Macaca mulatta: one gene and its partner. The protein of the gene in region 2 interacts with the protein of the main gene of each other region in a biochemical or structural test. Links are inferred from orthologs where the notes say so. Each region holds a gene or a part of one and is shown on either strand. Other genes may lie near its edges.

Region 1 (4,110 bases), on a different chromosome or scaffold from region 2:
AGCCACCACGCCCGGCCTGCATTTTTTTCTTCATAGAAGAAAACAAAAGTAAAACTTCCCAAATTATGTTTAACTTATAACACATTTTGCAAAGACCCCTTAGGTTAACCATTTTGGAAATCTACATTGTTCCGAAGAAAAAGATAAGCTTTCAAAACACTATCTAGCAATTCCTAATCATTTTTCTATCATAAACATTAAAATTCAAAAGTTACTGCCACAGTGCTTGTGGCAGTAAACAGAATGTAAAATTTATCAAAAGACTAAATTAGTGTCATGAAACATAAACATACTAAATAATCAAATAAATACTGGACCCTTAGCACAGAAAATTATTAAAAGGTTGATCTGAGTGTTAACATTTGTAATATTAAATTACCTTCGTATTTCAAATATTACTTTTTCTAAACCAAACCAGCAGCTAATCAACTTTTCCTTTCCTTTAGGAACAAAAAGGATATTTAAGATATTTTCCAAAACAGTAAAAACAACTTAGTGTTTCAATTCAGTTACAACAAACCCTGCTTATCCTGTGCATTTCACTGAGGCGCTACACGCACCCAAAAATCATCATCAGAAAGAGAACTTGAACTTCCTGACTCAGAGTCTGGCTCACTGAATCCACCTAAGTCCCATTCAGTGCTAGACTCACTTGGTATTTCTTCTTCTTCAGTGAGAAAACTCTGACCAGGTTCAAGGCAGGAAGGATAAACACGAGCAGAGAGGCAAAAAAAGTTAGAATCAAACTGCAAGAGGCCTAATGTGGTACCTATATTAATCCATTGGTCTCCCCTAATATCATATTCATACACAGTCACCCGGTTCTTTTTCCATTGTGGGGTGCGAGAGGTGATGAGCAACAATTTTTGGCCATGCTTGATAATCCGGTAGTTGTTGGTCTCTGAGACCAAGGGAATATTATTCATTTGCCTCCATTCTGCCCTAACTGGGTTGTAGACCTTCATGACTGGGATGTCACAGATACAGTAAATCTCCTCATTGAAGACGCACGCTTCCTGAAAGTCATTGCGCTTCAGAGAAACGCACTTCAACCACATATTATGGCTAGGATCATAACAGAACATGCGCTTACTGTTGAGAGCATAGAGATAGTCCCGAATTACCATTAGGTCAAAGGATAAAAAAGAATGGGGCAGTGGAGCCACCAATGCCCACTGGTTTCTCTTAACATTGTAGCATTCCACTTCCTTCAACTTAACTCCAGTAATAGGGTCTCGCCCCCCCAAAATGTAGATGTAGCCATTGAGATATGCCACATCCATGCCCTCACGACACAGCAAGCGATCTGCAAGTTGCTGCCAACTGTTCTGAGCTGGTTTATACACCCAGAGGTCTGTCCTGGGCTGGGCAGCTAGATAGATGTCATGGTCAGGAGAGATACAGACAGCTAAGGTGGTGACAGTCCTAGTGTGAGCCAGACAGGTCAAAGGTGACGGCACTTTGTAAAGGTCCCCCGAGTATGGATCACAGCAGAGAAAGGGATCTCTGGGGTGTCCAAAGAAGATCACCATCTCCTTGGCACACATACCCAGTCTCTGGGGTGGATTTTCTGCTGCAGATACAAGAGAGTTGCTGCTGCTACTGCTGCTGCTGCTGTTTGGCACTGGCACCAGAGACTTGTACAACAGGTCACCATAGCGCATCTGCAGGGCCCCTTCAATAACGTCCAGGCAGTACTTCTTCACGATGGGCTTGGTCAGCAGCCCTTCTAAGTAGTCCTGATCTTCTTCAGTGAAGTGCATCCAGCGCACGCACTTGAAGACTTCCGCAGCACTGGGACCCCGCTCTTTGGGAGCAGCCTCCAGCCACTGCACTGCCACGTGGCACACTGTCTGCTCACTCTCCACGTCCAGACTATCCAAGCGCAGGACAGCCAGCAGCTGGGCCAGGGTCAGATCTGCTAGAGTCTCCTCCCGAATTGAACCCATGTGGCTGAGCTGCTTGAAGTTCTGAGCTATATAGGACTGGGCCTGGGATCGCAGCTTGCGATGGCCAAAGGCGTCTGCAAACTTGAGGATGGCAGTGCAGTTGGTCAGGTCAAGACGTCGGGCTAAGAAGGAGGCACAGGCTTCCCGCACATACTCCAGTTGCAGCATGTCGGAGGCCGCGTACAGGCGCTCCACGTTGGCCTCGCTGAGAGACACACGACCCGTGTAGCAGTAGTCGACCAACACCTCGAAGGACTCGGCGTCCACATCGTGCATGGTCACGCTAGTCTGCTGGCTCTCGTACATGCCACCTGTGAACATGCTCTTGAAGTAGGGACACGCGGCGGCCAGCACATTGCGGTTGCAGGGGAAGAGGCGACCCGTGCCAGGCCCGCTGCCAGGCGTCACCACCTCGATGGTCACATCACACAGCTGCCGCGCATCGTAGAAGGACTTGAGCTGTGCCAGCAGGGCTGCAGAATGGGCCGTGTCCTTTAATTCCTCTGGACCCGTGAAAAAGGCCGAAACCGTGGGTTTGTGAATCTTCTTGGGCCGCTTCCCACCACGGGGACTGGCGAGGCGGCGAGAGCGCGGGGCGTCTTCCCGGGACTGCATGGTGGAGATGGCGACGGGCGCTGATGGCGAGAAAGGCTGCAGGACCCGGCTCTGGCTCCTCCTCAACCTTCCCTCGCTGACGCTAAGATAGCAGCGTCTCCCAAGAGACCGCAGCACGAGCCCATTTACTGAATTCCGCCCTACCCTGCGGAGCCGCCTCCCTTTATCGTTTAGACAGTAGCTGACTCACCCTCTCTCACTCCCGCGTCCTTTCTCCGCGTCTGCTCGCCTTCACAGGACCCGCTGGCTTGGAGCCGTAGAAGCCGCTACTGCCGCGTGGGCGACAATACTAGGGCCCAGGAGAACTACCGCTCCCAGGTTGCCTTTCGCGCCCCGAGGGCTGCTGGGCCTCTCGGACTCCCAGGCCGATACCGAGGGAAAGAATCCGCTTTGCATGTTGGGAGTAGTAGTTTGTGTAATATCGCGATCCTTCTGTGGTGTTCCTTGTTTTTTAACTGACGACACTCGAGAGCGCCAGTTTTCCTAGATTCGATTTTGTGGTTTGGAACTTTGGTTTTGGAATCCACAGTAGTCGCCTCGTTCTAGTATGTATTGTTCGACTTGTCTCTTTGAATTGTTTCTTCTTTTGTAAAATGTGAACAGTAGTATTTCATAGGATTGTGTGAAGATTAAATGAGTTGGTTATAGGACGCTGTTAATATTTGTTGGTTTGTAGAATAATTACTCAGTTCTTAGAATATAAAGGTTCGACAAGTTTTCTTCCAGCCTTTATATATATAGAAAAAAAGGAAGCATCACTAATTTGAAATTATGAGCCTGTAGGAAAACAAAAAACAGCCCCCGAAAACAGAAAACCTTGCAAATTGCAGCAGAGATCCCTTTTTAGGGGTGTGTGTGTGTGTGTGTGTGTGTGTGTGTGTGTGTGTGTGTAAATTAGATTTTATTTTTAGGTTTACAGACAAATTGAGCAGCAGGGACAGGGAACTTCCATATATCTCTCCCCACTTCACAGTTCCCTTATTATTATTAACACCTTGTATTAGTGTATGCATCCAGTAGAAATGAATTTTTTTTATTTTTATTTTTTACTCACTATGCCTCTCCCTGATACCAAAAATTAACTCAGGGTTTGTAGGATTGGTTGGCTGTTGCTGGAATTAGATCCCTGGTTTTTTCACAATTGCCTGTCCTTACTTGCCATGACTAAAAGGAAACCACCTCCAATCACCTTACTTTGAGACTTTCCTTCCATATCTGCATTTCAAAATCTGAAGTCCTCTCTAGCCACTTTTCCCACTTGGTCTCTCCAATATTCAGTACCCCTTTCCCTTTTTTACATAAAAGAAGAGACATGCTTTAGGGGTCCTCACCCCAAAACACAAGGGAAGCCAGAGGCCTGGTTGGTAATTTAGCATCCTTTTAGACCCAGAGGCTCAAGCATTTCTCCCCTTGCTTGTATGAAGTTGCTGCTCCATCAGAACTGACTTTATTTTTAGTCATTCACTCAACCTTTACTTACCCATGTAGTTCAGACATTAGAAGTCACTGAGAACACCTAACACGTTTCCGCTTTGGACTCACCTCC
Region 2 (4,043 bases):
GGAAAAGGCAGAAAGAGGCTAGCACTGTGCCCCAAAGGAACTCTGAGACCTAGCAGTAAGAGAGAAAAACCACAAAGGAAGACAGAAAAAGAAAGTGATAAAGCAGACCGCAATACCTGGAGGGAAGGCAGGGGTTTGGAGAGGAAGAAAAGGGGGAGGGGTAATTATTAAAGGATTGGTTTCCCAGAACCAAGGTTAAATTTCCAGGAATCCCAACTCTACTCCTCACTATGGTAGACCCTGGGCTAGATGCTTTGCCTCTTTGGGTCTCAGTTTTCCTCATTTGTAAAATGTGACTAATACTCAATAGAGCTATGAATTTTTAAAATAGACAATCTGTTTCTAGCAGTCTTTTTGATATGTTGTGTCTTTGAAGATAATTTCAAGATCCCACCAACCCCTCCTCTCTGAAGGCACAAGCATACCTCTTCAACTGTTAGCTCTGAAGAAATATTGGTGGGACTAAACTCTGGTTATGCGAGCAGTCAGGATACACCACTGCTTGAATAACACCAATGGTCAAGCTGGAATGGGCTTTAGGAACCACTACTCTAACCCTCTTTTCTGTAAACAAGGCACTCTATCTAGCACAGCAAGATTAAAAGTTCTGCCCAAGGATGCAGTGAATTCCCAGAACTAGAACCAAATCAAGGAACCTGCGTCATAACTAGAAAGAAGGTCACAGACTGAGCACCTTGGGAGCAGCTCAGCGCTGGTTAAAACATAACCCTAGGGAAGCTGAAATCTGAGTGACAGTCTTAATGGCTTAAAAATTATCACAGGAGTAAAACATTTAACACCAAACTATGAGCATGAAAAGAACAGAATGCACTGAAATATTCAGAATACACATAAGTATTTATCTATTTCCAATACTTAACAGTGTGAAGTCCACAGCACGTCATTAATTCTGGTTAATAACAACTATATTAGAAACTGAGAAACAGTATGACACGGAGGTTAAGGTCTCCGAGAGCTCCACAGTCCGTCAGACAGGGTTAGAATTCCGGCTCAAACACAGATCAGCAATGTGAAACCTTTAGGAAGTTACCGCATTTCTTTGTGCTTTGAATACTCCGTCTGTAGAACGGGGATTATAATCGTGTAAAGATTAAGCGAATGATTACAGACTGAGTACTTATACTGCTACTGTAAACTATTAGTAAAATATGACTGTATTTTTTAAATATCATTGCTCTAAAGATTGGTATCACCAGAACTCGGCAAAATTTTCAGGTATCCAAGGTCCAGAAACCAGCAAAGTATTTTGTAAAGGATCCTTTACCGAGTAAGGGATTAGCTCACCCCTCTATAAACTGAAAACCCTTTGGTAATTCCTGAGGAATGGAAGAGCCCTAATGACTTTTTTTTTTTTTTTAAAGGAAAAGGGGTACAAGAGGTTTCTACTGCTGGGCTAAGGCCCTGCTGGCTTCTGGTAGCTATAAAACCACGAACGTTAGGTAAGGATTAGAGAAGAAACCCAGAGTGGCTGCGAATCAAGATAAGACATCAGATAACAGCAATTATTTTACCATGATGTGACATGTAATCCTGATGTTCCTACCTGAAGATAAAGAGCACAATTTTAAAAATCTCTGCTCCTCCATTTCCAAAATCCAACAGCTGCTGGTCCCTTTACCACTTAAAAGTCATACTCTGCCCTCCAATTCGGCTGCGCAGCCCACATTAGAGAAACACCAGGCAAGGGACGGGGGAGGGGGTAATGGGGAAAACGCCCGGATGCTGAAAGACACCTAATGTTTCTTCTCTGTTCCTACTCACTACCTGCGCTAGTTTTAACTACTTAAGCCGGTGTCCAAAACACAGAAAAAACGTCTCAGTCCTGCCTTATCGCGTGCAGGTGCCAGGTGATCAGAAATCAATACCGGGGGAGGCTGGCTGTCCCTACACATTTCCCGGAGCCTAGAACGATGAGGCAAGAGGGCTGTTGCGCAGAGAACGTGACCTTGTTTTTCAGGCCCGGACTGTCTTGTGCTCCCCTACCCCCCTGTCATGCAAGAAAAGAACCGAATAGCTTCTGAACCTTTTCCTCCCAAGCCCAATGATATGACAGCCAAAGTCAACTTCATTAAAGGAGAACCAGCCAAGGCAGAAATCGACCGGGTTTGCGCAAACCTCACCGCACAGCACAGTGTCCCCGCGTTCTTAAAGGGAGCCAATCCACGGCCCTGATCTAACCACTCTCGCACACAGGGGCGCTATTTTGCGCACCTCAACCCACACAGGGTCTCAGTATTGCTGAGACCGTGTGGGTTGCTGAGTCACTGAAGATGGCAGCTCGGCCCCAAAAACACCGTCAGCCCTGAAGTGGGGTTCAGGCCCCAGGCATATGTGGTTTTAAAAGCTCCGCAGTCTGGACGTCCATTGGCTCGGGCACTGAAGGGCGTTCAGGATTAACTAATTATCGGCACCTCCCTTCCCCAGAGTCGCCTGGGCGCCCCAGGGAAGCCATCTCGACTCCCAGCCCCCGCCCCCGCGGGCCCTTCCCCTCCCATCCCCCCGCTCCTCTACACTCACGGGGACCCTGTCCGGATATTTCTTCCGGATCTTTTCTCCTTCCTTTTTCCGATACTCAAAGGGATGGTCCTCCTTGTACTGGAACTTCATGATGCACCGCAGGGCTTCCGAGATTCCCCGCGCGGGGCCTGCCTCCTTCGCTGCTGGCCCTGTCCAGCTCCCTCCGCCGACGTCAAGGTGTGCTCAAATAGCTACAGAAACGTCCGCTCCCGGGGCAACAGCGCTGGGCCGAGCGTGCAGAGGGGGTTCGGTGTGGGGGGGATCTCGGGTGAGCCTGCCCGGAGATAGAGGAGAGCCAGGTGGAGAAACACCGGCGGCTTTTCGCTGGAGCTGGGAGCACAAAAACAGTTGGGTGGCGCGTCGGGCTGTGACGTCACCCTGCGCGCCCCGCCCCGCCCCCCAGGCGCCGAGGGCAGGGGGCGGCCGAGTGCTGTCTTAACTGCGTTTCCTTTCTGGCTAACGTTTTTCAAAATCGATGTCATTGCAAACATCAAAACATTCTAGTTGTGTTTTATTTTGTGACTGTGAAAGACGGTTTTAAGACAAAAACAATTTTAAACATGTTTTATTCCCCCTCCACTGTTTTTCTTGGTTTGGCCCCAAAACAAATACAAAAGGCGAAAATCCTTTTCCTGCTGGTTGGGATCCAGCCTCAGGGGAAAAGAGGCCCAGGCCTCCTGGGATCCCTTTGGCCAATGCAGAGCTGTCCCGTGCTTGCACCGTGCCCTCTGCGCTTTCCGCTGCCCCTCCCGCGGCCCTCCTCCCGCGCTGGCGTCACAGTGTTTGGGCCGCGCCGCAGTTCGCTCCTGAACAGCAACATAAACAGAGCGTGACTCAGGAATCTGAAGAGAGGAGTCAGATGAAGGACGCGGAGTGTAATCAAGGTCCAAAGGAGACGTGATGTCAGTCAGGACTACGGAGGGCTTCACGTACAATCAAATACAGAAATGATTCACTTTCTAGCCGGACGCGGTGGCTCATGCCTGTAATCCCAGCACTTTGGGAGGCCGAGGCAGGGGGATCACCTGAAGTTAGGAGTTCGAGACCAGCCTGACCAACATGGAGAAACCCCGTCTCTACTAAAAATACAAAATTAGCTGGGCGTGGTGGCCCATGCCTGTAATCCCAGCTACTCTGGAGGCTGAGGCAGGAGAATCGCTCTAACCCGGGAAGCGGAGGTTGCGGTGAGCCAAGATCGCGGCATCGCACTACAGCCTGGGCGACAAGAGCGAAACACCGTCTTAAAGAAAAAGAAAAGAAAGAAAGAAGTGATTCACTTTCTGCCATTAACTCAGAAAGGAGGCTTGTCTTCTGGAAAAGAGAGTATCAAGCAATTTAGGTGATGACCTCAATTCTTCCCCCACATCTTATTTAGTTCCAGTGGTTAGGTATCCCTCACGTGGCTGGAAAGCGCTGCCTGGAATGCCAGTGGAAGATTGGGCATTGCGGCAGGTGCGGCGAAGCCTCGTTCTCGCTTTCCCCACCTAGAGTCAAAGAATAAAGAC

The links.
Region 1: the proteins of GABARAPL1 (region 2) and KBTBD6 form a complex in vitro, tested with the Homo sapiens proteins (2 studies listed by BioGRID and IntAct, with this or other methods). The link is inferred for Macaca mulatta from reciprocal best matches to the Homo sapiens genes GABARAPL1 and KBTBD6.

Annotation. Positions count from the first base shown.
Region 1 is NC_133422.1:20,543,745-20,547,854, forward strand, and holds the start of KBTBD6 (kelch repeat and BTB domain-containing protein 6), read right to left. Parts: upstream 2,831-4,110; 5' UTR 2,565-2,830; coding exon 540-2,564; 3' UTR 1-539. UniProt on the Homo sapiens protein: As part of the CUL3(KBTBD6/7) E3 ubiquitin ligase complex functions as a substrate adapter for the RAC1 guanine exchange factor (GEF) TIAM1, mediating its 'Lys-48' ubiquitination and proteasomal degradation.
Region 2 is NC_133416.1:10,339,726-10,343,768, forward strand, and holds the start of GABARAPL1 (gamma-aminobutyric acid receptor-associated protein-like 1), read right to left. Parts: upstream 2,823-4,043; 5' UTR 2,629-2,822; coding exon 2,539-2,628; intron 1-2,538. UniProt on the Homo sapiens protein: Ubiquitin-like modifier that increases cell-surface expression of kappa-type opioid receptor through facilitating anterograde intracellular trafficking of the receptor. Involved in formation of autophagosomal vacuoles.